Linked DNA regions of Mus musculus: regions 1, 3 and 4 are each reported to be linked to region 2. The links are microRNA targets in miRTarBase. Many come from high-throughput screens and were not tested one by one. Region 2 holds a microRNA gene; each other region holds the end of a gene's coding sequence.

Evidence for each region. The annotated mature microRNA mmu-miR-30e-5p reads UGUAAACAUCCUUGACUGGAAG and lies in region 2 at 2,683-2,704, shown strand. An mRNA with a match to its seed (bases 2 to 7 or 8) in the 3' UTR can be bound and repressed. Matches are read on the target gene's strand: a 7mer-m8 pairs with bases 2 to 8, a 7mer-A1 pairs with bases 2 to 7 and ends in A, and an 8mer does both.
Region 1: the mRNA of Oga is a reported target of mmu-miR-30e-5p. Seed matches in the 3' UTR shown: 7mer-m8 at 3,788-3,794.
Region 3: the mRNA of Araf is a reported target of mmu-miR-30e-5p. The part of its 3' UTR that is shown has no 7-base or 8-base seed match.
Region 4: miRTarBase lists Rev3l as a target of mmu-miR-30e-5p. Seed matches in the 3' UTR shown: 7mer-m8 at 4,093-4,099 and 7mer-m8 at 3,834-3,840.

Annotation. Positions count from the first base shown.
Region 1 is chr19:45,747,737-45,752,884 of GRCm38, forward strand. It overlaps Oga (O-GlcNAcase), which reads right to left. Exons shown (of 16, transcript NM_023799.4): 16 at 2,519-4,544. The coding sequence ends at 4,408. It overlaps Npm3 (nucleoplasmin 3), which reads right to left and starts at 1,829. Exons shown (of 6, transcript NM_008723.2): 1 at 1,703-1,829; 2 at 1,321-1,406; 3 at 1,014-1,133; 4 at 810-903; 5 at 428-544; 6 at 1-315. The coding sequence starts at 1,820. The coding sequence ends at 435.
Region 2 is chr4:120,770,216-120,775,363 of GRCm38, reverse strand. Mir30e (microRNA 30e) reads left to right here and starts at 2,667; the gene lies at 2,667-2,758. It overlaps Nfyc (nuclear transcription factor-Y gamma), which reads left to right. Exons shown (of 10, transcript NM_008692.4): 5 at 1,597-1,692. Mir30f (microRNA 30f) reads right to left here and starts at 2,758; the gene lies at 2,667-2,758.
Region 3 is chrX:20,859,396-20,864,543 of GRCm38, forward strand. It overlaps Araf (Araf proto-oncogene, serine/threonine kinase), which reads left to right. Exons shown (of 16, transcript NM_009703.2): 15 at 290-424; 16 at 584-1,126. The coding sequence ends at 718. Syn1 (synapsin I) reads right to left here. Exons shown (of 13, transcript NM_013680.4): 10 at 4,189-4,335; 11 at 3,788-3,875; 12 at 3,104-3,695; 13 at 1,116-2,214. The coding sequence ends at 2,079. Mir5617 (microRNA 5617) reads right to left here and starts at 3,787; the gene lies at 3,731-3,787.
Region 4 is chr10:39,873,215-39,878,362 of GRCm38, reverse strand. It overlaps Rev3l (REV3 like, DNA directed polymerase zeta catalytic subunit), which reads right to left. Exons shown (of 32, transcript NM_011264.3): 32 at 3,157-4,279. The coding sequence ends at 4,139. Among named protein-coding and RNA genes, the nearest start is that of Mfsd4b4, 23 kb to the left of the region's middle.

The DNA of each region.
Region 1 (5,148 bases), not on the chromosome of region 2:
CAAAACAACCAACCGTACACCACTTTATTTAGATATTTATCAAAAAAAGTACAAAGTGTTAAAAATGTGTTCTGAACTTCATGTTCTTTTGTTTTTTGTTTTTTGTTTTTTTTTTTGCAGTGCTGGGGACTGAATCTGGGTTAGGTGGGTCAGAAGAGGTGTTCAAAGGTTGTCCCACCCCAATAGAAAAGGGAAGCCTCAGGAACCACAGTCCATCCCTCCCTCCCACCCCCTATTCTCTTCATCGAGAAAACCATTCTTGAACTTGTCCAGGAACATACGGAGCATGGCACCTGTAGCAAGCAGTTACCTGATCTGAGAAAAGCAAGAATGAAGTCAGAGTCTTCCTCCTCACCTGCTGCCCCTAAACTTCCCAGATCCTTCGGGAATCCCACCAACCGACCCCACCCTCCACCCACACACTCACCAGGGGGCTAAGGCCTGCCCCTGTGCTTCTTGGCAGGAAGGATGCCACACAGCTTAATTTCATCTTCTTCGCTCTCATCATCACTTTCTTCTTCAGAAAGGTCGTTGTTTATACAAACTGGTGGATACACAAGGATAGAGCCACTCATTCAGCTGCTAGGCTGACAGGGAACCTCATCTCCCAGAGTCCCCAAGTCTAGATGGAAAAGAGCCCACCCACCTCGCTGGAGTTGGACCCCTGGGGCAGGCAGGGTACAGCAAGTTCCCAGGCCTGAAGGAGGCAGTGGGAGGCACAGAATACTGGAACCATAGCCTGAGATGCAGGACACACTAGGAGATGAGACTGGGGTAAGTCGGGAGTGGAGAGGGCCCACTCTTCTCACCGATCTGATGCCGGCCAGTGATCCGAACTGGGCCAGAACCGGACTTCAGGCGGAAGGTGACAGGTGGTTGGAGTTGGAAATCATCCACACTGAGCTGGAAGACAAGAATGACGGGCTGAGCCGTGCTGGCCCACCCACTTGGAGATCAATACCGAAGTTCTCAGTCCCACCAGACTCCGAGAGGAATGAACGGCTCCAACTCACCATGGGCTGGCAAGACAACCTGAGGTTGGCCACAGGAACTGCAATCTCCTGATTGTCGTGATCCCGGGCCACAACTTCCACCACATTACACTCGTCCGTGGCCCCCTCGGTAAGGCACAGCTGAAAGGCAGGCAGAACCTCAGCGTCTCAAGTGAGGGAGGGCTGACACCAAAGCCAAGGCGTCTTACCCCAAAATCGGCCTAGTCCCAGTGGCACCGGATGCGGGGACCAGAGGGTGGAGGAGAGGGGCGACAGGCGGAGTGTCGGCTAGCCCCCCGCATCTCCAACTCCCTCTGCGGCCCCTTACCATGTTCAACGCCAGCACGTGCTCCGTGTCATCCTCCTCCTCAACCTTGAAAGTGAAGGAGCGGGTGTGGCCGGAGAGCTCACAACCTGCAAGAGCCAGCGAGTGTCGCCTGGGTACACGCGTGGAGGGGACAGCGCGCGAGGACGCTCCACAAACTCCGCTGTCCCCTCCACCCGGCCATGTGCCGCGGCGGCGGGGGGGGAACCGGCCGCTTGCTCGCCCAGAACACGTGGACGGGCATCCCACTCGGGAAGAACCGGTTAGGGCGAGCGAGCGAGGAGCCCTCGGCCCACAGCTGCGCCCGGCCACAGCGGCGCCCGGCCGCCTTCCTCGGCCACGCCTCACCCGCCCCGTACCACTCTGCCACTCCCGCGTTCAATACCGAAGAAGAAACTGTCCATTGTGACCGGGGCCGGGACCCTCAGGCCCCCGACGCCCCCAGCTCGGGCTCGGCTCTCTTGGTTCAAGAACGCTAAAGCAGCCGCCGCGCCGGCCGCCATGCTGAAACGGCCGTGAGCGCCCCGCCCCCCGCCTCAGCCAGTTCCGGTCCCGCCCATTAAAGGAGCCGCGCTCGCCACACGAAGCAGGGAGGAGCAGTCGTCGCCTCTTCCACGAGGACAGGTAACAAGGCCCCAGAAGAAATCTCCACGAGGGCTTAAAGTTAGCGTCCACTCACTGAAGCCCCTTCTTCCAACCCGGGGATATATACATACAGATGTTAGTGTAAACCTTTCGTATCTCCTTTTTCAGTAAACTTGGGGTACGGAGCAGCCATTTTTACTCACACCCCCCCCCCCCCCCCCCCCCCCCCCGCTTCCTGATCATGCTGGAGGCTTGACAGCCAAGACCTAAACTCAGATGTGGAGATCAACTACTGTTCATAGTACAGCCTCCTCTTTAGGCGACCCACCCCCCCCCTCCACCACCAAAATTCCTTTATCTAAGGAAATGAAGCCATGTTCCAGTGAGGAACTCTGTGACACCCCCCCCAACTTCACACAAATTTTACCTGTAGTAAACAGAGCAACTTACTTAAAAACAAAAACAAATGTACTTTTCTGAGAAAAATCTTTGCTGTGGAAGGCAGGAGGGCAGGGCTGTCTTCAATCCAGCCTACACTGAAATAGCTTCGGATACCTAAGGGATCAAGAGATGTGAGGGAAAAAAAGGGAGAACCCAGAGAAAAAGCAGCACAGCACACATTCACTTCAAGTTTTATTGTGCCTCTTGCATGGTCTGCAGATAGGTTTACAGTTCGTTTTCTATAGGAACTGAGCTGTGATCTAAACAATGAAATGTTATTCCAACATTAATAAATATTCATAACCATGGAAGATGGCAGAGCACTTTATCCTACAGCAATGACAGTAGAGACCTGGACATGTTTTCACTTATGTCCAGAAGATCATCCCATGTGATTATTGAAAGCCAACATTAAACAAAAAGCAACTTGTTCAATTCCTGATTCCGTATGAAACTCTGAAACGCTCTGAATAAAACCTTGTAATTCTCACTGAGGCATGAGATGGATTCAGAACGCTAAGGAACATTAAACGGTCTTAATATCTAGTAACAATTTTGCCCCTCACCCCAGCCTTCAAAACCAACCTTGACTTAGGTTTCACAGCACATCCTATCGCAAAGGTTCGCACCCTAAGGAGGCGGCACATTTCAGCACACTCTTGGGCCTCTGGTTCTTGGGCCTCCCTGGGTCCACTCTATATAGTGCTAAAAGACTACCTCACAAGCTCACACTGGAGTTCTAGAAAGGAAAATGTTTCAAGCTCCCTCTTCTCTCTCCCCCCTCAGCTCAAAGTTCAAAAGCTATGTAGAACTGGAGGAAAGCAAGGTAACAAAAGACTGTTGAAAATCTATGACGTTACTAGATAGCTAGCCATGATTAAAGAATAATAATCCTGCAGACACTATGTGCCAGCTTCATGCTCAAAACCCTTAAATTCACCAAATCTAAATTAAAATAACATGAAGTTTTCAGAATCTCTGATTAAAAGAAAAAGTATACATATTGTTAACATATACTTATTCTTTCTTTTAAAAATTAGATACAAACATGCAAGAATTAAGGACTGATTCGATTAAACCAGTAGTTAACAGGTCTTTGCGATTAAATGACAACTGTTCAAGGACAAAGGAGACCACTGGTCAGTCCCCTTACCCTTACTTAACAATGTCAGAACATTTCACATGCGGATCTGCTATTAAGGTTAATTCCCAGGAGTTACTGCACTTCCCAACATATCTGAGTCATAAGAAGTTAGGTGCTCATACCCTAAATAGTCATGGCCTAACCCTATGTGGGAGGCACTTCAAAAATAAAAACTATTAGGAAGAAAAGGACAGATGTAAAGGAAATCTACCATTCACTGATTTACATAATTCAAAGTGCCATCCTAAACCAACACCTTTCATTTTCAAAGGAAAAAAAAACCCCATAATATATAAAACAGTAAACAAAGAACAGTCGGGTTACAGCTAATCTATATACAGAGATTTACAAGTTTGTCAATTTAGGCCTTGGCCACAAACAAATGCACATTTGTCCCTAACAAAGCTCAATGGCCTGAACCAACAGTTACAGGAGACAGTTGCCCAGAACTTTACAAAAAGCAGAAAAATTGCCCAAATTGAAACTCACTAAATTTCTCATTCCAGCCATGTCTCCAAAGAACAGAGACATTTCATCCAGCACACCAAGGAGAGTAAAGAGAGTGAACTTCGTTGCTCTTAGGTGAGAAATGCAACCACACTGGATGCAGAAAATAGTGCTGACTCCATTTATTTAAGAATCTCTCCCTAGAGAGCCCCACGTAAGAGGCCCTGACCCTAACACAAGACCCAAAGAGGAGCACACCACAAGCTGCACGGGGTATGCAGCAATACTATCTTCTCCCAACCAGTGAGCATCTGAGAAGGTGATGGGTGCGCTTTACAGTCATCTTTGTTTCCAAGTCAACTGGCTGATCTGCTGCCGCTCCAGCTCCAGACACTGAACTGTGTGAAGACCTCAACCACCAACCACAAGGCGGAGTTAAGGGACTTTTGGACAGTTCACAGTACCAACAAGTGTCACAGGCTTCGACCAAGTATAACCACATCCTTTGGAAATCCTTCCATTTTTGCAATTTCAAAACAGCCTAACTTGCTGTAAAATTCCAGAATCCTTTTATCATCTGGTCTTACTTCACAGAAAGCCCCCCGGGAGCCTAGAAATAAAACAAATGTTTTAAATGTAAGTAAGTGTATCATATAGATTTGAACCGTGTTTAATACAGGTAACAGCTTTATCTATTCCTAAATTTCATATTATAACTTTTATTAACGGGGTACATAATGGGGAACTCTGAGCTATATTCGCAGACTGACAACTTTTTAAAGTCTTTTTTGTTTTTGCTTTTGAGAAAGGGTCTCACTCTATAGTCCTGGCTGGCCTAGAACTCACTAAATCAGGTTGACTTTGATTTAAAAAATACCTAACTTTAAAAATATATTTAAGATTTATTTTATATATATGAGTACAGTGTAGCTGTCCTCAGACACACCACAAGAGGGCATCAGACCCCATTACAGATGGTTGTGAGCCACCATGTAGTTGCTGGGAACTGAACTCAGATCCTCTGGAAGAGCAGCGCTCGTAACCGCTGGGCCATCTCTGCAGCCCTTGCATTACAATTCTTAATACTTAGCCAACAATGAGTGAGTAAAATTCTTCCCATGAAAGAAAAGTCTTAGTGGGTAGTGGCAGCTCTGCATGCCCCCTTAGTCCCAGTGCTCAGGAGGCAGAGGCAGGTGCAACTTTTGAGTTCCAGA
Region 2 (5,148 bases):
TAGTGTGTTCATCTTAGATGAGTTCTGGCAGACTGTAAGATAATGCCCTTCTTCGTTAGGAGGGTTTATTATGAAGTTGGTAGTTGGCAAGAAGGGTGGATTGGAGATTTGCATTTCAGTGGCTTGGGACCATGACAGATACTAGGGAAGGAAAAAACAGAACATTTCCATGACTCCTTTTGGCCCTTTGCTTCAGATGTGGGATCGAGAGGTTGCTGAGGAGTTTTTGAGTTTGTTTGCTTTTCCTTGTTATGCTATTGTCAAGGATTTATAGTACGTACCTGTTTAGTTTTTCCCCAAATTCTGCTGTTAAAGTTTTACTTTAGCAGGCCACAGGATAACTAACCAGGGCTATACAGAGAAACCATGTCTTGAAAAACAAACAAATTGGGCTGGTGAGATGGCTCAGCAGTTAAGAGCACTGACTGCTCTTCTGGATGTTGAGTTCAAATCCCAACAACCACATGGTGGCTCACAACCATCCATAATGAGAAACAGATAATAATACTTTTAAAAAACAAAAAACAAAAACAACAAAAAAACCTATGGACTGGAGTGAGTGGGTCCCGGGAGCAAGTGGGGCCCAGGAGCAAGAGGAAGAAGGGAAGGGGGGAAATGAATGAATGAATGAATGAATGAATGAATAAATAAATAAAGTAAGAAAAACAAATTTATCATACCTCTCACTTCAGCCATAAAGTGATCTATTTTTAAATACATTTCAAAAATTACTTTCCCATATATACTTAACTATATCACTCACTTGAGCTTAGTGGTTTTGTTTTTGTTTTTTTAACCTTAAAACTTTCAATAAAGTACACAAATCATATGGGAGAAAAAGTGTTGATTTTTATTATTCAAAGGAAGGGGAATAATATCAGACTTGAAGAGAAAGTCCACTTGTGACATTCTTTTCAGCTCTGTGTTCACTACCTACCTATAGTAAATTCAGGCTTGAGTATTCAGGCTCAAATTCGGATTAAACTATTCATTAAGCAGTGCAGTTTTGATTTCTAAACTAAAACCCATAGGTAACATAAAAATCAAGCGACTGGATTATAAGTGCCTGTAAAAAGAAAAACAACAACAACAACAACAAACAGTGCTTAGGGCCTTTAAAAAGATCATACAAGTGAATGATGGGCTGACCTTGTGGACCACAGAATGCCAGTTGAGACTGCTGGCTTTGTCCTGAATTAGCCAGAGGATGGTGGTTTTACAACTTTATGGAAGCTTTGAAACCAGAACAAGCAGAAATAGTGGTGAGTAGGGCTCAGATGTCCTGGCCTAGAGCACGAGATATGTGTATCTCTTTCGTTGATTTCTGTCCAGCAAGTCTGATATAAATTGAGCTGTTCTTATTTTTAGCTCTAGACAAACCTAGAGATTTTTAGTACAGTCTAAAAGTCATCTCCTTGGGCTGGGGCATAGCTCAATGGTAGAATACCTGTCTAGCTTGTGTAAAGCTCTAGGTTTAATCCCAGACACTGGGACTAGGGGATAGGAGAGGATCATGTCCTTTTACTTGAAGGATAACAGCCAAAAGAACTAGATTCTTCCTAGGCCAGTTTTTAACTTTGTTTTTCTTTGTTACAGAGGAATGATATTGCCATGGCAATTACAAAATTTGATCAGTTCGACTTTCTCATCGATATTGTTCCAAGAGATGAACTGAAACCTCCAAAGCGCCAGGTGAGCTGGGAGGATTTGCTCAGCTGCCACCTCCAGGGCCTGGGCAAGATGCTCTCCGGAGCTCCTCCCTCCCTCCCACCCAAAGCATTTCTTGTTTGTGGTTCTCTTCCGTAGTCCAGATCATCCTCAGCATCTCCTTCTACTCATTTATGGGTACTTTTAACTCAGTGCCTCTGGGGTGGGGTTGCAGTGAGAGAACAAAGTTAAAAAGACTAGTCACAGATAGTGGGGTGAAGCTCAGTTCAGGATTTCTTCATCTAAAATAAAAGCTTTTTCAGCCAGTCAGTTTTCAGATTCTAAGAAACAACCTCTTTGTGCATAGTGATCAGATTGGAGCCAGTGGCTTTTATTTTCTTACTCTATGCTGTGTCTCTGTAGTGTGATGACTCTACCCATCATCCACTGAGTCAGAACCTATGACCCCATGACCCCAGGAATCAATAATTAAAGTTCCCTAGATGCTTTGGTGTCCAGTGAAGTTTTAGAACCACCATTTACATTTTTCTTTTTAATTACAAGAACTAAGTGTCTGCCCTTCTTCTGCCTGTTCATCTCCAAAGATCACACCATTTGTTTTGTTCAGCACTTGGGTGCATATAACTTAGTTGTGATTGTGATAGACCCCAGTCCTATAGAGCTCATTGTTTCAGGCACGCAGTTTGCATGATTCACTAGGTTTAGTGTAATATGCCTCAGAGAAGTAAAGCCATACCATGTCCTGCTTGTTTTATTTTTGTTCATAAAATATAAGTGTTTTTAACTAATTATTTTGTAGTATACTGTTTAGAGTCATTTAATGACAACCATTCTCCCCATGTTGACCTGTACAAATAACCAGTCAGAAAACCTGTTGGAGAAGTGGGCATCCTAATTGACATTAATTCTGACCCTGCATGAGGGTTTTTGGGTTAGCAAGCCCTGGGTCACCTCCTTATGGGAGCAGGTTGTGCCTCACTGAAGCTCTTTATTTTTCTGGGCAGTCTTTGCTACTGTAAACATCCTTGACTGGAAGCTGTAAGGTGTTGAGAGGAGCTTTCAGTCGGATGTTTACAGCGGCAGGCTGCCACAGTCGTCCCCGGCTGCGCTCATCGGCTTTGAGACATTGCAGGTTTGTGCCCATGAACTTGTCTCCTTTTCTTGGGTTACTTCCTTTCTCTCTGAGAAGTCACAAGAACTCAGACTGTCTCTCTTCGTTTGGAGCTGATAATACCATGAGCCTGTTTTCCTTATTGGATTTTTGCTCCCATGTATCCACCAGGAGTTTCCTTTAAAGACAAGGTGGTAAGATCTGTGATGCAGTCAGGCATTGCTCTTATTGTACTGATTGTTCACTATGGGCTGCCTGCTGAATAGATGACTAAAGAGAAAGTTATTATCCTATACCAGTGGTTCTCAGCCTTCCTAATGCTGCACCATTTAATACAGTTCCTCATGTTGTAATAACCTCCCAACAATAAAATTTTTTTCATTGCTATTTCATAACTGTAATTTGCTACTGTTATGAATTTTAATGCAACTATCTGTTTTTCAGTAGTCTTAGGTGATCCATGTGAAAGGATCTTTCCATCCCACAAAGGGGTCACAACCCACAGGTTGAGAGCTGCTGACCTATACCTTCCTCCAAAGTTGTTTGTTCTTCTGGGTCTGTCAGGGTGTTAGATTTGCTGGTGGTCTACCCCATCTCCCTCTTTTGTTCTTTGGTTTGGTTTGGATTTTTGAGATAGGCTCTCCCTGTGTATCCCTGGCTAGACTAGACTGTGTAGACCAGGTTGTTCTGGAACTCGGAGAGATCTATCTGCTTCTGCCTCCTGAGTGCTGGGATTCAAGGCATGGACCACTATACTTAGTCCATCTCCCTTTAAAAGGTATACAGCAAGAACACTCCTTTAGCTGCCTGGTTTTAGTTCTTTGTAGGTGTTTGAGCTATTGATTGGCATCCTATTCAGGACAGCTGCTGCCTGGCATTTAAAAGGTTGAGATTGCTGAAAGCTGGCCTGAAATTCTAAGATAGCATTTTTTAATTCTCTGTAGACATGAAGTTTTCCCAAGCTCCAAATTGGCTGGCACCTCCTAAAGTCCTTTAAAAGTGCCTACTCTCCAAAACACACCCTCTGAAGGAGGCAGCAGTTCACCCTGCCACTAAAGCAAATGTATTTTTTCCCCTAGTCTGGAGCTGGCTGCTCATCAGTGTAGTGATGACCCTGTGCTGTGATACTGTTTGTTCACTGTCACTGTTTTTCAGTCTCAGCACTGGAGAAGCCACTGTTAGTGTGGAGCAGGTACCCTTCTGTACTGAGTGTTAGCATGGAGCAGGTACCTTTCTGTACTGACCTATTCGGTCAGGTGTTTTCCTAGGGCTTGGTGCTGATCCATCTGGAAAGGGAGACACTGGATTATGAGGCTTCTCAGAGATGATTTGGAGTCTCCCTCTCTCTTTTTTGCCATGGAAGTAAGTAGATTGTCTGCAAGTAGATGGTAGTTGAGGGTTGACTTCTCCCCGACTAAGCTATGAGTTGAAAGTTCCTTGCTCATTGAAATGTCATTATCTTTTCACCCATTTCTTTAAATCAAGCATCATCATTTCCTGCTGGCTTGATCTCCATTTGCAGAATGAGTGCTTCATAAAGCAGAAGAACCTTACTTGTGCCTCCTTCCATCACAGCAATTTGAAAATAGCCATGCTTGTCCTGACAACAGTGTTCTAGAAACTGTCTAAGTCATTATTACCTGAGAGGATGCAGTAGAAAACATGGGAGAGGCTACCTGCCTGCCTGAGAGCTTTTGCTAAAGCACTATTTTGGGTTCTGGCAGAAGTATTTAAAGAATTTGCTTTTTATCTTGGAAAAACAAAACAAAACCCTTGTTCAGTGTTGTAATTATGGACACCTAGAGCTGATCACAGGTCAAAGGCAGGAAGGGACCGTGTCCCCAGCTGCTCTGTGTTCTCAGTTCTTAATACTCTCATAAGCTAAGAGTGTTTCCACTGTTAAGTCCGGCCTTCCTATTTCTAAAATAGGAAGGGGAGATCTCAGTGAGGGGAAAAATAGACACTGAACTTATTTCCACAGCTTTGGAAAGAGCAGTTGACCTCAGTTTTGTGGTCTAAAGGAGTATTGGTATGTATCCCTGCCAAGACATGGTTGCCAGCTGACTTTTGCTTAAAATGGAAAAGAAACCAAAATTGAAATGGACCTGGCTTTGACTTGAAGTTGAGAAAATAAAAGGAGCTCTATATATATATTTTTTTTACCTCTGCTGAAGGTTGAGGACTGAAACTGTGGGTTTGAAGCATAGACTACATTATCGCAGAAGGTCAGCTTATGCTTAAAGACTTGCTTGGATAACCAGAACGTTAGGAACAGTTTTGTGTTCTGGGTTGATGACCATTGGGGAACCTTGTTATGTTGCGATTGAAATGTCTCAGAGGCTAGTTATTCATGATCCCAGTTACAGGAT
Region 3 (5,148 bases), not on the chromosome of region 2:
TCTGCATTTTCCCGAATCTTAGTATTTTCTGAGCTTATGCCCCTTAATAACTCCAGACTCCTATTGTTCTGGGCCATACACACCTACAGTCTTTGACAGCCTTAATATAAATCCCTCTCTTTTATCAGCAGAAAATCCTCCCTAGTCCTCAGGGACACAGACTCCTCTGGGCCTTAGTACTAGACACCTCTAGTCCTCAAAAATTAACCTAACATATATTTTAAGATTCATAGATCCCTGGGCCTCCCAGCTCAAACCCCAAATCAACCCATTCCTCCCCACACACCAGATCATCTTTATGGTGGGCCGTGGCTATCTGTCTCCGGACCTCAGCAAAATCTTCAGTAATTGCCCCAAAGCCATGAGGCGCCTGCTGACTGACTGCCTCAAGTTCCAGCGGGAGGAGCGGCCCCTATTTCCCCAGGTGGGCTGGGTAGGAGGGCTGGATACCTTGGGGAGATGCACTGTGAGTAAAGAGATAGAGGCAGATATTGAATGTGAACCATGTTGAAAGCTGGGGATTGGGGATATTGGAGTATCTCTGGGACTCTGGACACCCCTCTTCATCTCCACCCGCTCCCAGATTCTGGCCACGATCGAGCTACTGCAGCGGTCACTCCCCAAGATTGAGCGGAGTGCCTCCGAACCCTCCTTGCACCGCACCCAGGCTGATGAGTTGCCTGCTTGCCTTCTCAGCGCAGCCCGTCTTGTGCCTTAGACCTCACTCCCAGCCCACCAGGGAGCCAATTTCAGCATACCATGCCAAGGCACACCGACCTACCAGCCAATAACTGTTCTGCCTCTGCCTTGATACTGCCTCAGGATTCCCTATCCCATACCCTGGGAAATTTGAGGGACCCCAAAAACTGAGGTCTCCTGCTTTCTCCATAATTTGGTCTCCTCTTGGGTTTGGGGATAGTTCTAATTTGGAGAGCTGTTTTATCTCCAATGGCTGTGACTCAGTGCAAGGATTCCACTCAGAACCTCTTTCTAAAGTTTTTGCCTGATGTGTCTTCACTGGATTTTGGGGTTCCCAGCACCCCATGTAGATTTGGGGGTTTCTTTTTGTCTCCCCCACTATTCAAGGACTCTCCTCTTTACCAAGAAGCACAGAATTCTGCTGGGCCTTTGCTTGTTTATTTTGCTTCCCGACTCTTCTCTTGGGGGTTCAGAGCCGCTGAGGGGTGGGGCAAGTCCAGGCAAGGAGTGGAGGTTGGAGGAAGATGCAGACCACAAAAACAGTGCCACTGTACGCATTACCACAGGCGGCATGAATGAGGACCACATATGCCAAGCATGGCACAAAAGGAGGCCAAGTCAGTCACAGATAAACACATTGGCAAAGGTAGGGGAGTGGGAGACCACAGGCCTTCCTTGTGCAAAGGATTCTGAGGATGGGTGGAGTTTGCATATTTAAAGACAGCTGTCAGAGGCAGGAAATTGGGGAGGGGTTTCTGGAGGAGGGAACTTAGGGGTCCTAGAAGTGGAAGGAACTTCCAGTATATTGAATGGGATGGAGAGGAAGAGGTGAAGGGAAGTCCTTGAGGGACTGCTTGGTGGATGGTAGGTGGCATTTGAAGATGTGGATCTCCAGAGAGATGACCTATGGAAGAGGTTTAAGGATAGGGGCTTCTTATGGAATTGGAAATTTCTGATTAGGAGCAAGGTGTGTTGGAGAGATTCAGGACCAAGAGTAGAATAGGGTTTTTCAGGAATTTCAGAGCTCCAGGAGAGGATTCGATGTATTAGGTCAGAAACAGGTTTTCTGCCATTCAGGAACTTTCAGGGAAGAAATCACCCTTTAGATGTACCAGAAGTAGAGGTCTTCAGGAGTTTGGAGGTTCTCAAACAGATCTGGAGGTGACCAGGAACAGGATTCTAAATGGACTTGGGGATTCCCAAATGTGAGAACTGGATTTAGGACCAGGTTTCTCAAGGGACATACTGAGGAATGAGAAGTGGGCTCTAGGAGAACCAGGAGAGGGGTTCTCAAGGGATTTGGAGGTTCCAAAAGTGAGAAATGGACTCAGGACCCAGAGAGGGCTGTCTAGGGGTTTAGGGGTTCTCAGAGTGGGATGTCAGTCGGAGAAGAGGCTGGCGAAAGACTTCCTCAGGCTGCGGATGGTCTCAGCTTTCACCTCGTCCTGGCTAAGGCTGGGCCTGGGAGGGGCTGGCTCTGGAAGGTTGAAGGCATTGGTCAGAGACTGGGATTTGCTAGAGAGAGACAAGGTGGAGGCATGGGAGGAAGGGGGAAGAGGAAGGGGAGGAAGGGAGAGAAACACAATGTTACCCTAGGCCCAGCCCCAGCCCTGCCCCTCTGATCCTGAGGCTGTGCCTGTGACCTTCCCACCCCCAAGCATGCCCCTGAACCCTGATGGATTCTCAAGGGTGATGAAGCTGAGACTGAGGCGAATGTGGGGTCAGCTGAGAGGACTTAGATATAAGATAAAGTGGTGTGGTTTAATGGGAAGATTCCTTGGTCAGTTTGATATGGAGGATGAAAGGAGGGGTTCCAGCAAGGAGCCTAGGAGGAGCCTGGGCTAGGGACAGTCTAGTATGAGGTAAGCCAGTCTGAGGGGGAACAGATGGGGTGGGGGTGGGGGCCAGGGAAAACTTTGGAGCTAAGGGCTAGGGGAATAGAATGGACAAGGAGAAGCAGAAAGGATGGTATGATCTGGGAGAGTTTGAAGTGGCAGGAGTATCTGGCAATGGACCAGAAAGGAGTCTTAGGGAAGGTTTGAGGAAAGGCTGAAAAGGGAAATGATGGAAGGCTTGCTGCAAATTGGCCTGAGGGAGTTCAGGGCTGTCTGGGAGGAGGGTGATAATAAGAGATCAGATGGACAGGGAAGTACTGGAAGTAGGTCAGCCAGGCTACTGGGATGGGCCAAAGGTCTGGAAGGGGGACTTTCCCAGGGCTTGTAGGGGAGGAATCTGAACTGGAAGTGGAGATGCTGGGATTCTCCCTCAACTGCTGGGATTGAGACAAAAGGGGTTTGGCCCAGGCAAAGGAGATCTGGTTTTCCTTGGGATCTGGGGATGCCCTACTGGGGACAGTGCACTCTGTGAGCAGCAAAGGCCAAGGCTGCTATAAAGGTCCCCTTACTTGAGCTGGGGGTGCGGGGGTCCCCCGGCAGCGGCGGTGATGGGTGGTGGCACATCCTGGCTGGGTTTCTGGGCCAGCTGTGGTTTGGCGGGACGTCCAGCAGGACCTGGGCCGCTGGGCCGGGGCTGCTGTGTGGTGGGAGGCCCAGTGCGAGGTCCGGGACCTGCCTGACTGGCCTGACGAGTGGGACCAGCAGGGCCTGGGGGTTTTTGGGGAGGGCCCTGGCGCTGCTGCCCTCCGGGTGGGGCTCCTGAGGCCTTCGTTGGAGCTGGACCAGAGATAGATGCCTGACGGGTAGCCTGCGGGGCCCCCGCCTGACGCTGTGGAGATGGGGAGGCTGGTGGGCGCGCTGCTGGAGGTGCTCCAGGGCCTCCTGCCACTGGCCGCGACTGGCGGCCTTGACCCTGGGTCACTGGTGTGGCCTGAGAGGCAGACTGCTGAGGTGCTGCGGTGGGACTTGGTAGGCGCTGAGGCAGAGGGCTGCCAGCTGGCGGTCCAAGGCCAGAAAGATGTTGCTGGCCTTGTGGGGGTGGGCGCTGCTGCAGCGGGGGTCCCTGGCGCTGAGGTCCTGGGCCTGGCTGTGGAGGGCCTCCTAGGAACAGAAAAAAAGAACAGCAAGTGAGAGTGAGTGAGAGCTGAGGCCGCCTGGGATGGTAGGAACCCAGAAGGCTTGCCCTCACTTACCCTGGGGTGGGGGTCGTTGTTGAGCAGGAGGACCTGCAGGCTGCTGGGAGGTCTGGCGGCCCAAGGTCAGGGCTCCTGGGGATGAAGACTGTGGCAGAAGAGTGGAATACAAGAGATTAAAAATAGTTACCGGAGAGTGGGAGCAACAGCCAATCAAAACGACATGGGTTCCCTGTGTGCTGGGTGTTGCCCCATTTGTGGCCAGTTGAGGGGATATGGAGCTATGAGGCCTCTCACCCCATATTTGGTCAGGAGACTCTTAAAGATGGCAAGGTAGCAGCAATTTAGTGAGGCCACAAGTGCATAAAGGTGACATTAATAGTCCATTGATACCACCTCTATGGCATCAGGTTGATGAAGGGCTGGCCTCCTTCCCACTAGCTCAAGACCAAGGGCCTGACCTGGCTGTGGGAGCCCCTGCCAGGGGAAGCATCCCGCTGCGGCTGCCGAGGCAGAGCCTGAGTCATCTTGTTGACCACAAGTTCCACGATGAGCTGCTTGTCTTCATCCTGGTGATCACCAATGAGTGGCATGGAGGAGCCCACCACCTATGGGAGGGAAAAGGATCCAGTATTAGGGGAGGCAGGAAGTGCATGTGAGGCCACAGTGTCAACAACATACTTTCACTTGGCAAAAAAACATGGTGACTGCAAAGAGAGCTCTGTCTGGCTTCTAAGTGGCGCTGATTGTGCACTGTAAGGAAAGCCTGCCAGTTCCAAGGCTCTGGACAGCTTTGTGGGTGGAGTGTTAGAGCTGGCTCTGCAATCAGTGTCTATGGGGGCAAATCTAGCTTGCTACATGTTTTTCTATGGCTCATGAGCTAAGATATGTTCTATATCTTTTTCTTCTTATTTTAAAGGAAGTAGAACCACAACCACCCAGCAAGCCTAAAAACCACCAGTCTAACCCTAAAATCATAGGCAGGATCCTGCCTCACCCTCCCAAGTTGCTAGGATTACAGGCATGTACCATAGTTTAGGCTACCCTCAAACTCTTCATTAGTGCTGGGATTACCGTTTCCCGCTGCACCCAGCCTCCGATGGCTTTCAGTGGTTGGGGAAAAAGGTTTCATGTGTGCAAAAGATATGAAATTTAAACTCAGTGTACTTAAAAGTTATAGACATAAACACATGAGTTGTATCCATATGCACAGCTGCACAAATCTTCCATCTTGTTTGTGGCTGCTTTTATGGGACTGAATCAGAGTGCCAAACTGCATGGCCCACAAAGCATAAAATATGTACTGTTGGTCCCAGCTTTCACTGGGTACTTTGTCTTTTACCGAGTGCTTTGTTGTGGTTTCTAGGACATTTTCAAGGTTAACTAAGTGCTTTGCCATTTACCAAGATATCTCTATTCAC
Region 4 (5,148 bases), not on the chromosome of region 2:
CAACTTCACACAAGCTAGTCATTTGAAAGGAAGGAACCGCAATTGAGAAAATGTCTCTATAACTTCTGAGTGTAGCACTGGAAACTCTAAGACAGAAGTTGGTATCAGGAGTTGGGTATTGCTATGATAGGCCTGCCCATGTTTTTTCTGTAGAAATGTAGAGTTTAGGAGTTGGATAACAGAAAGCTGGTGATAATGTAATAGAACAAAGGGGCCATGTTCTAGCTCCAGCAAGCAGCAGAACTAGGCAACTTCTGCCATGTCGCTTTGGCTTTAGAGTCAAGAATAGAAGGGACTACTGAGACAACTGGTTAGCTGGAGCTAAGAAATTAGCAGTGATTAAGAAGAGACCAGCATCACTGAGGTGAAATCTTCTGGGACATGTTTTGTAAGAGCACAAAGAAGCTGTCTTCCAGGTGGCTGGACTTGGTAGTGTGTAAGAATTGCTCAGGTGGTACTGGTTTTGAAGGCATGAAAAGGCCAATGAGAGCAGCTGAGACTTGGAACTGTGAGGGCCCTGGGAAGGTCACTGGTGAAGGTGCAGCCTCAGTTGCAGTTAATGGCCCAGTACTGAAGGGGTCATGCAAAGAAGTTGAGCCTTGGAACCATGAAGGAAGCCTATGAGAGGCTACTGGTGAAGCCTAGTTGCAGTAGAAGACTCCAGCCAACTGGAGATGCCAGTACCATGGGATGACCACAAATAACAGCAGCAACAGTGTTGTCAGAGTGCTATAGAGGGCAAAGCTGGAGAAGTAACCCAAGCCCTTTGGAGGAGCCCGGATCATGTGTGGATCCTAGACACTGGTACAAGAATCTAATGTTGAGTTGCCTTGTAGACTCCAAGATGTCACATATGCTAGAGTCATGGGATACCTGCCAAGGAAAGCTGCTAACAGAGTAAAACCAGCCCAGAAGAAAGTTTGTTGCTGTCAACAAGAATTAAAGGAGCTGGAGATCTGAATGTGCTTTGACATCAGACATGGAGATGCAGTTTGGAGTTTGCCCAGTTGTTCTTTTGGTCTGGTCTGGTCCCATATTCCTTCACTATGTTGTTTTGGAGTGGTAATGTATATCCTTGTGAAGTTTGTGGTATGTGATCTGCCTTTTGACTTTATAGGGGATTGTAGTTAAGTGACTGGGTTTAAGAAAAGACTTGACTTTGGGCTTTTAACACTGTTGAGACTGCTATAGACTTTGGGGACTTTTGAACTTGCACTAAATGTATTTTGCATTATGCTGTTTACCTATGGCCCCCCATAGACTTATGTGTTTGAATAAGCCTATGGGGGCCAGGGAGTGAAATGTGGTTTGAATATGCTTGGCCTAGGGAATGGCACTATTAGGAGGTATGGCCTTGTTGGAAGTGTCACTGTGGGGGTCGCCTTTGGGCCCCTCCTCCTAGCCACTTGGGAGCCAGTCTTTTCCCACTTGCCTTCATAATATGCAGAACTTGTAGCTCCTCCAACACCATCTGGCCTGGATGCTGCCATGCTTCTTGCTTTGATGATAATAGATTGAACCTCTGAACCTTTAAGTCAGCACCAAAAATGTAGTAATTTTTAAGAGTTGCCTTGGTCATCATGCCTCTTCACAGCAATGGAAACCCCAAGACATCTTAACAAATTAAGGGAATGCTTAATGAAATTACTTTTGAGCTAGTTTGTGTGTGTGTGTGTGTTCACAAATGCAGAGGCCAAAGCACGATGTCTGGTGTCTTCCTTATTAATTTCTCCTTTATTACCCCGAGACAGAGTCTCTCAACCAACTGGACTCTTGTCATTTCTGCTAGGCTGGCTAACTACAGAGCTCATGGGACCTGAATTTCCACCTCTCAATATACATCCTTGCCTGGCTTTTTAAAAATTTAATGTAGGTGTTGGGGATTTGAAGTTAGGTCTTCATGCTTAAAGCACAGACATTTTTACCCACTGGAAAATTTTCCTAGTTCTTTTTGAGATAAATGAACACATGCTAAAAAATAAAATTTCTTCAGTACTACTAAAAATGGATCTGTCTGACCCGAGGAAAAACAAAACTATTAACAGCTGACTTATGATACAAAATGATTACTATTGAAATACTATTTTGCTACTATGATACATGTGAAAGTTCTGACACTACAGATAGCTCCAGCCCCCACCCCCCCCCAACAAATAAAAAAAAGATCCCAGAAAGTGAGGATTGACTATGGTTTAAAAAGACTTGTGAAGGATATGATTTGTATCTCTTTGGTTCCATAATTGTTATTTCCAGAAAGTTAATCTCTTATTTATAAAAGTACGTATTTAAATTCTGGCAGTGGTGAGGCATGGTGGTACACACCTTTAATCCTAGCACTGGGGAGGCAGAGGCAGCCTGTTTCACGGAGTGAGTTCCAGGGCAGCTGGGGCTACACACAGAGACCCTGTCTAAATAAAAATAAAACTAAAACCCCTGGCAGTGGGAAACTCCTGCATGGTGATAAGCAGCTGGCAGTCTATGAGCCCTTTCTATGGGAAAATAATCGGCATTTAAGCTTTTAAAAGGAAGGAAATGTTGCTTTGTTTCCCCTCCGCAGTCTTAATCTAAAAGTCTGACTGCATGGAAGTGAACTTCCTCTTACTGGCAGCAACCAATGTGATCTAAAAGGTGATGCTAAATTTTGTCTAGAATATTCTGCTGTCTTAAAAAAACACTAATCCCAAAGTTTTGGTAAAAGAATGGAAGTCAGGTTGTAAAAATGAGCCAAGTTTACCATTCTCCTCCAAGACAGCTAGCGTACTACATGTAGCCCAAGTTGAACTAGAATTTGCAGGTGCCCTGCCTCAGCCTCCCAGAGGTCTGGGGTTACAGGTAGAGGGGTGTTTGTTTATTTTGATAGGATCTTTTGTAGCCCAGCTGGCCTCAGATCTACCATGTAAATGACCTTGAACTCCAGGCCGTCCTGCCTCCACCTCCTAAGCGCATGCTTACTGTGCTGTGTTTATGTGGTGCTGAGGATGGAACCCAGGGCCTCCTCTATGCTAGGCAAGTACTCTACCAATTGAGCTACATCTCTAGGCCCCAAATTTACCTCATTAGAATTTAGGAAAGTCTAGGGTTAGATGGAACCCGTGTTGCTTATAGAACCGATGAAGAGAATTCTGCTTATGTTAAGATAAAAGTCATAGCACTGTATTTCATATTTTATTCAATTTTTAATTTGGTTTCCATTATTAACTCTCAAAACAAAAGGATTTCCAGTTTAAAAAACAATGCACTGACCACATAATTCCTTTTTCATTTTATACAGTTATACAAATATCCTAAATACACATTTGTGTTCAAGGGATGGCAAATAAGATTAACTGTACAGTACATAAGGAAAGAAAATATTTTAAGCATATTTAGAAGCAATAGAAATGTCTATACAAAACAAGCAAAATGGAATAAATTTTTTTATTTTATTTTTAAAGTATTGCAACAGGCCCACAGGTTTGTAACAAAAATGTCTTTGCACAGTTCCTCACAATGCCCCGTTAGTAGCTATAGCAAGACAGCGGTCTTTAGAAAAGAATGTTTCAAAAATGCTACACATGGTACTATTTGCACAGTTTGATCAAAGTAACAAATCTACCTTTGAGTCAAGCAAAACCTAGAGGAGATATACCAACAACGTGAAAATCATTGTATAAAATTCATTGCACATTATTTTACTCAGTTATTTGAAAAGTAAAAAAGTGTATTTACAAAATATTTTGCAGTCAAAATTATAAAGTGAGTGGATATCTCTAAGCAACACATCCTGATACAGACAGTTTAAGGAATACACACGAATGACTTTAAGAGGTTTTCAGTGTTCCTTCCACAGGGAAGTAAACATGATCTGTTCAAATGGATTTACAAGATGGTACATAAACTGGAGCAAATCCAACACCTGTATTATTATAAAACAATGTTCAAAGGTGAAATGATGCGGAATTTGTACATTGTAAGAAGTAAGCTATCCAGAGAGCAGCATGTATCCTTTTTAATCCCGTTAGCAGAAATCTTCATAGTCTTGGATGGCAGACAGACAGTGAACATCTTTGACTTGATGGAGGTTGAGAAAGCACCATGCAGAGGAACTGAGTGGTAAACACTGAGCAGAGAGCACCTGGAATTCTGTGACACTGCTAACTTAAAACTGGTCCAGTAACTGTCGCAGGTACGGGGCCTTGGATAATTCTCTGTTTACTCGTGAGAGTTTGAAAAGTACCGGGCAGTTGAGGGAAACACACGGGATATGTCGGTCAAAGGAACCTGTACAGTTCCTGCATATCTGAAGATGAAAGAAAACAGAATAGGAATGCTTCTGTGTGTATATACATACACACACACACACACACACACACACACACACACACCTATGTAAATAACAGGTTTTTAGATTCCTTCTTTTCTGCTACCTCAGTTAACTGGCAAACTTAACTCAGTACAGAGAATTCTGTCTGTTTCCTATCTCAGAAGCCTAGCCATATTTCATGGAAAGTACAAAACGGTCTCAAGATTCATTTTATTTCTTGGTTCACTTTCATTTACAATGCTACCTCGTTACACTGAAAGGCACAGGCAGGCTACCTGTGCTTGCCCAGACTACTGAACCAGAGCCCAGCACCTGGAAAAGCCCTGTCTCAGATCTAGTCCTACAAGACTGACCTAAGCCACTGAGACTTGCACACACTGCTGACAAAGTCACAACTGAGGATCATGATTTGAAAACATGAGCAACCAAAGCAGGAACCAACACTGTGATTCTATTAAACGAGGTGCTTATGCATAGCAAAGGACGGTGGATTGGGAGAAAATGTTAGGAAACTATTCATGTGATGAGAAATACCTACAATGAACAAACTTAACGGCAAGCCCCTAAAATATGAAAAAGCAGCTAACATCACTAACAAGCAGGATGATAAGACCACAGTGGAGATATGGGGGTACTGGCACATTCTTATAATCTGCCATATATAAGAATTAGATCTTATATATAAGAATTATATAAGTATAATTCTTATACTCTGGAGCGTCCTGAGTTCCAGGCTAGCCAGGGCTGTAACATTCTCTCTCAAAAAACCAAAAACCAACAAACAAATCTACAAGGAGATATCAGTTATCTCAATTAGAATAGTTATTTTTAAAAAAAGATATTAA